Linked DNA regions of Oryctolagus cuniculus. The protein of the gene in region 1 interacts with the protein of each later gene in a pairwise test. Links are inferred from orthologs where the notes say so. Each region holds a gene or a part of one and is shown on either strand. Other genes may lie near its edges.

Region 1 (3,656 bases):
TGCACCACAGCGCTGGCCCCTGATTCAGTTTTCTGCTAATGTGCACCCTGGGAGGTAGCAGATAATTGCTCAAGTAGTTGGGTCCCTACCACTCACTGAGAAAACCCAGATTAAATGCTTAGATTATGGCTTCGATTTGGCCCAGCCAAAGCTGTTGAAGGCATTTGGGGAGTAAATAAGTGGATAGGAGATCTCTGTCTTTTGAAGTAAGTAAAAATAGGTGAGCTAATTTTAAAAAAAATAATGTAATGGGGGAAAAAGACTACCAATTAATTTTTGGTTGTATTTTCTAAACCAGGGCTTGGCAAATTTTTTTCTGTAAGGGACCACATAGTATTTTAAGTTTTGTGGACTATATACACCCTCTATTAGGATTATTCCAACTCTGTTGCTGTACTGTAAAAAAGAGACTAGTTGGAAACAATATATAATGAAATGACTGTGGCTGTGTTCCAATCAAAATTTTTAAAAATAGATGACAGGGCCAGCACTGTTGTATACTGGGTAAAGCCACCACCTGCAGTACCAGCATCCCAAATGGATGCTGGTGTCCCAGCTGCTCCACTTCAGATCCAGCTCCCTGCTAATGTGCCTTGGAAAGCAGCAGAAGATGGCTTAAGTCCCTGGGCCCCTGCACCCACATGGAAGACCCGGAAGAAGCTTCTGGCTCCTTCAAATAACTCAATGAATGAATGAATAAATTAGTAAATATCAAACAAACAAAGGGTGATGGATGACACTGGCTTAAAAAAAAAAAAATCGGGGCTGATGCTGTGGTGAGTGGCCTAAGCATCCTCCTGCAAGGCTAGCATCCCATATGGGCACTGGTTCTAGTTCCAGCTGCTCTTCTTCTGATCCAGCTCTCTGCTATGGAAAGCAGTGGAAGATGGACTAACTGCTTGGGCCCTGGCACCTGCTTTGGAATCCTGGAAGAAGCTCCTGGCTCTTGGCTTTGGACCAGCTCAGCTCCAGCCATTGCAGCCAACTGGGGAGTGAACCAGCAGATGGAAGACCTTTCTCTCTCCCTCTCTCTCTCTGTAACTCTACCTCCCAAATAATAAATAAAATCTTTAAAAAAAATAAAAAATAAAAAAGATGACCAGCCAGATTTAAACCATTTCTTCCATGATACACTACAATTAATAATACCACCAAATAAATAAAATACAATTTCTTAGACAGTAAATCTGCAAAACATAATCTGTTTTCAGGGCAACTTTCAGGTACTGAGCTCAATTCATTCAATAATGAAAGCCTAAAAAAGTTTACAGGAGTGTTTAACAAAGAAGCAGTTACTCATTCCTAAAAATGGAATTCTTATATAAAATATTAGTCTGATGACAAGCAATATACTGTTGGGGATAAAATACCTTTTTTGATGAATCTTCCTTCTCCTGGTCCTCGGAAACCTGGTCTTGATCTCTCAGGAAAATTAACTGTTATGATAAAGTTTTCCCATTATTAAGTATAATTTGAAAAATAACATTATCAGTTAAAATTTGAAAAAAATGAAAAGCAAAATATATAACCTACATAAATATGAATCAATACAAAATACACTTACCGCAATCCTGCCACAGTTTGTGGAAAAGTAAAGTAGTTTTTTGTTTCTTTGATTTATTGCCGTAAGTATCTGATTAAAAAAGAAATGAAGAAAGCAGGTGAATCACCATGATTATGTTTCCTCTCCATTAATAAACAAACAGGCGTTTTATTTCAACAAGAATATGAAAATGCTTTAAATAAATGTACATAGTATGGACTTAGTAAGTATAAAAGTGTAAAGAATGTCCCAAACCAGTGGGAAAGAATATTTTATCGTGTAAAAATGTTTCAAATATTTATCTTGTTTGCTTCTAATACCTATAAGTTAACAACATCAACTAATAAAAAATGTTCTGATAAAAGAGCCAAAACAAAGACCAGTCTGAGTGGCAAGTTTCCCCTCTTTTAAAAGGATGCACAAGAGAAAAAAATAGAGCCTCAAAAATAAAACAGAAAATTTGATAAACAGCTCAAATACTCAAACAATTCCAGATTAATCAAACCTAAGAAACAGATGTAAAGCATGTAAAGGAAAAAAAAAATCAGAGCAGGTGTTTGGCAAAGTGTTAAGTTGCTGCTTGGGATGTCTGTATCCCTTATCAGAGTGTTTGGTTTGAGTCCTGGCTATTCCACTTCCAATCCAGGTTCCTGCTAATGTACACCATAGGAGGTAGCAGGTGATGGCCCAAGTAGTTGGGTTCAGGACCATCCATGTGGGAGACCAGAACTGAGCTCCAGGCCTCTGGCATTAGCCTGGTTGAGCCCTGGTTGTTGCAGGCATTTGAAGAGTGAAATAGCAGATGGAAGATCTTTCTCTCTGCCTTTCAAATAAAATGAGTATTTTTAAAAATAGAGGAATAGAAAAAAAATGAAAACTTTCAGGAAAAGAAACATACATTAATAACACGAGGTTTCAAAGAGTTCATGGAAAGGGGGCAGGTGTTTAGCCTAGCAGTTAAAGATGCTCGCATCCCACGTTGGAGTGCCTGGGTTTGATCGGTTTCCTGGCTCTAGCTCCTGACTCCTAGTTGTTAATACAGACACTGGGAGGCAGAAATGGGGGCTCACATAATTGGGTCCCTTCCCATGTGGGAGACCCAGATTGAGTTCCTGGTTCGGCCTAGACCCCAGCCCTGCCCCAACCATTCTGAGCATCTGAAGAGTGAACCAGCAGTTGGGAGCTTTCTTTCATTCAAATAAATTAAGAAATGTTTTAAAGATTGTTTTGAGAGGCAGAGTTATAGACAGAGAGAGGGAGAGGCAGAAAGAAAGGTCTTCCATCCGCTGGCATACTCCCCAAATGGCTGCAATGGCCGGAGCCAGGCCCATCCAAAAGCCAGGAGCCAGGAGCTTCTTCCAGGTCTCCCACGTGGGTGCAGGGGCCCAAGGATTATGGGCCACCAAAATGTCATACCTTTTTCATCTGGCAGATATCTAAAATCCATAGATTCACTAACTTCCTGGTCAGAAGGTCTCCGAAGCTGCATTTTTACCGTTACTGGTTCTGTGATAGCTTTGCAATATGGTGGAGTTTTGAAAACAATGGCTACTTGACGGTGTACATCAGCTTGTGAAAAGATGCCTTTTGCTTCCCAATCATTCAATACAAAACGAACTTCTATGTCATCTAGTAAATAAGAAACCAAAGAAATAACAAAGGGAAAACAAAATAAAATCCATCTATTAATCTAAAAACATTCTGAATTTAATGAACCAAAATACAAAAATGAAGTACCTTTTTGAACTTTGTCACAAAGTAGAAATATTTCATCTCCTCCTCTTACACTTCCGCAGTTCTTGTTTACACGACAAATCCTTAATTCTGCAGTATTTGGAGCACCTACAAAGAAACAATTTTTAAAATACGAGTTTCTACCTTGGTAAAATATTTCTTTTTGAAGGGGAGGACTTGAGGAAAACTATTTAAAGAATGTTTCAGCATACAAATAAAAGATACTAAACACATTAATCATCCACATCTGTCCCTTTCTTTTCTAACTGCTTCACCTAACTTGGTTTAGAGCTTTATGATGTTATTTCTAGGAAATGATAAGTACTCCTTGCTGCTAAATCCTGATTCTTCTAATGCATCCTACATACTGAAGCCAGAT
Region 2 (3,656 bases), on another chromosome or scaffold:
GTCAGTCTTTGTCATATCCATTGTCATCCTCAAGGGAGGAGAGCAGCATGTAATATTTTCCAAGCTTACTCCATCATGAACTCTTTTCCTCAGCAGAGTATCTCACAGGATGCACTATGAGGCATGCTGTTCTAGAACCACATGGAGTCTATTCCCATGACACATCTAAAGCTTTATCTATAGCCCAATAACAGAAGCTCTCCTGAAGTGTCTTGATTGCAGGACATTGTGCTTGGCTCAGACCTATCTATCATCCACAGTTCAGCAATATCTAAGACTGATATGTAGGAATTTTAGATTAGAAATTGATTCTTTCCCTTCTTGTGCTCACAGGTAACAAAGAGTCTACTATTGAGCTAGACAGGGTCTCCTAATGTCTCCTCTCTACAAACTATTTCACTAAACCATCTAGAGTCACAGAATATCTGTTTTAAAAAAATTTACAAATGGAATAAACAAAACTGCACCCTTTGGGTCTCCTACAAGTCAACAAGCAATTATCAATCTGTGGATGTTCACAAATTCTGGTAAGAATGAGAAAAAAATTAATAAATTTTTAACTCTCAAAACATATGATAATCATCCATATAAATTTGATGTGAATAAGTTTCTATTATCTGGCTCATTAGAATAACAAAACTAAAATGCCACTGGATTATTTCTCATTGTTTCTCTGCCTTCAAAATTGTGGACTTTGCTACTGGGGAAAAGGAATCTGTTTAGTTCCTTATTTCTAAGATCTTTCCATTCATATTCAGGCAAAGACTGAATGGTTCTGTTTTTCTCAAAAGAGGCCTGTACACATTTGGAGAAGCCAAAATGATGCCATTTAGCAGACTGAATATCAAACTAATACAGGACTACTTACCCACCTAAAACAGTAAATGAAACAACAGCCTACTGGTGCCACAAGATGGCAATGTTTCAAAGGTTAAACTTCAGTACTATCTCAAACTCCAGACCATCCCGCTCCCCAGACTGGTGAACAAGGATCCCTTTTATTTTGACATTAACAAGCCCAACTTACAAGTTACTTAACAACATTTTTAAGAGACCTAAAAACAATGTGATACAATGCAAACTCAGAACTTAAAAAAACATTCCAAGACAGACATTCTTGTCTTTGATAAGCACGGGAGAAACGTTTTCTAACATCTGCTTCTTGGTAGAAAATATCCTATTTTTGGCAAAGAGAAATTTGTCAAGGCAATGTCATCACTTTGTTTTGTTTCGTTTTCAAGAGCTTAATATTTTTTAGAGTAAGTCATGTGAATGAGATTGTTAATTATAACATATTAAATACAATAAATGAATAAATACAATTTAGATAAATTACACATAATTTAAAAATTAAATATTTTTAAAACAAAATATAATAAATGAGTTATTATCTACCCTGATATATAGTTTTCTTTTTTAATCTTAAAAATAACCTGCATGAAACAAAACAGCAAAAAATGTTTGGTTTTTCTGAAAAGCACTAGTATGTGAATACATATATGTATATATGTAAACAACACATACATTTATTCAAGAGAGAACTTTTCTCAATGTTTAAGGCTTCTCTGCCATATCAGGTTCAACAGTGAAGGTCATGGCCTCTCAAGTTTTGGGAGTACATAAAAGCCCTTGGGGCCAGAATGGTGTTTTCAAACTGAATGGCCAGCAACCAAGAAAGGTAGTGGGAAAGACTCAAAAGCTAAGTTAATGGACCACTGAGGATCAAACAATGAGCAAAGACAATGGTGATTAGTTGGGTTAAGGAGGTGACAGCGATTAGAAACTTAAACTTTAAATGAAGAATTTGCAATGTGAAATGCAAGAAGACCTTCACCTCCTTAACTCCCCCTAATCCCCATCTCATACATACAAAATAAAGGATCAAAAATAAGAGTTCACTTTTAAGGGATCATTGATACGTTGCTTTGTTTCATTTAACTGTCTACTATTGTATTATTCTTTGTTAAGTGCAAAAACATAAAACAAGCCAAAACAAATTTGAGAAAAGTAGGTTTTGAAGGCGTATTTTAAAAGGACATGTTTATAGAAAAGATAAAAATTGTTGCAATTCCAGATGATTTGTTCCAATACCAAATCGAACCCTGAAAGCTCTTAGGCTAAAACCTATTATTTAGGGAAATCTCAAGATAAAGTCCTGAGGTTTCTATAACTGTTTATAAGGTACCTGGAAATCGTGGTTACCTATTACAGGACCACAGCCCTTCTGGTGAGCACTAGGCAATATTTGCAAAAACTTGGCTTCTGAAATTTGGGAGGGCAAGTTTTTAAGAATTCACCATTTATATAATATCTAACTAGTGGTTGTGTTTTAAATCTTGTTCAAGAAAACTGGGGTTGTATAAACACTGCTTAAAGCCTACTGAAATTTAGGAAGCAAATGTGACTGACCTACAATAAAGAGTGAAGCAGGGAGGTATTGACAAACCCCTCTCATGTTGAGAGGGTTCCTCAGTGAGTTGAGTAAATCACCTGAAGTGAACCCACACCTGTGAATTAACAATCTTCATTGATGTCCAATAGTTAAAGACACTGCCTATGTGATTTTATCACAGGCACGTTAGAATTACAGAGTTCTACAGGTAAATAAAATGTCAGACATTTTTGTTTTCAATAATTTCAATGGCATCGAGTGTCCCCTGGAAATATTCATGTCTCTTAATTAGTATTGCAGATATGTGACATCCAGAAGTAAGATAATAATTTAAAGAATATATCTCATCTTTCACAGTGCAGTAACAGAAAGATAGAAACCAGGGACAGATCATCAACGTGCTAAAGTAGTGATCAGACTGGCACACATTTCAAAAAAATCCATGGTGTGACTGCCCAGGCGAGGTGAAACTGAAGACAATGTGCTTCCTGTCAAAGAGCCAGTGAGAGAGCCAGAAAGCGAATGACTCTCTGCAGTGGTAGAATCAAAACTTGATCTTGGCCTGTGTAAGCCAGCCGCAGAGCAGGAGCGCTGAGGTGTTGAGGAACCAGACCTCTGTTCCACTACCTCATCTGGAAAGGACAAAAGAACAATTCATACATAAATTCTATTTGCCCAAGTCCTCTACGAAATTGCTATATTCAGGAGATTATATAAACATATTGGAACAAAGGCAGCTTAGTAATAAATGTCATGTTCAGTGTTTCAGGAGCAGAGGTGGTAATAGCTCTTTCCTCCTAATCCATCACTAATCAATCACAACACTTCCACATGGTCAAAATATGATCCCTAAATCCTTCTCGACAAAATATGTGGTATTAATATTGAAATCAAACTGATAGCCCCACATTTGAAGAAAACATATCATTGACAACTTAATATCTTCCATTATATCAAAAAATAATTTCACTTAATATTTTGTCTAGATTACTTAAAAACCCGTCAATATTTACCCACCATGTCTTTGAGATGATTTTAAAATCTGATCAACTAGTGCCAAGTTTTACTTTCTTAAGAGTTTATACCTGCACAGCTTCCTTACCATCAATGCTTTTAAAGTCCAAAAGATAGCTTCTATTATCAACCAGGTAAAGTTGCAAGCTCATTTTCACATAATTGCCAGTCACTGGATTTTTTCTTCTTACTCGAAGATGGTATGCATTCACTACCTAAAATAGGAAATCAATGAAACAAACTACAAAAT

The links. The genes of interacting proteins can lie anywhere in the genome.
Region 2: the proteins of REL (region 1) and PRKAA2 interact in binary tests that used the Homo sapiens proteins (3 or more experiments, as listed by UniProt). The link is inferred for Oryctolagus cuniculus from reciprocal best matches to the Homo sapiens genes REL and PRKAA2.

Annotation. Positions count from the first base shown.
Region 1 is NC_091433.1:141,782,704-141,786,359, forward strand, and holds part of REL (proto-oncogene c-Rel), read right to left. Parts: intron 3,386-3,656; coding exon 3,281-3,385; intron 3,173-3,280; coding exon 2,960-3,172; intron 1,634-2,959; coding exon 1,565-1,633; intron 1,437-1,564; coding exon 1,371-1,436; intron 1-1,370. UniProt on the Homo sapiens protein: Proto-oncogene that may play a role in differentiation and lymphopoiesis.
Region 2 is NC_091438.1:116,460,512-116,464,167, forward strand, and holds part of PRKAA2 (5'-AMP-activated protein kinase catalytic subunit alpha-2), read right to left. Parts: intron 3,622-3,656; coding exon 3,495-3,621; intron 3,025-3,494; coding exon 2,786-3,024; 3' UTR 1-2,785. UniProt on the Homo sapiens protein: Catalytic subunit of AMP-activated protein kinase (AMPK), an energy sensor protein kinase that plays a key role in regulating cellular energy metabolism.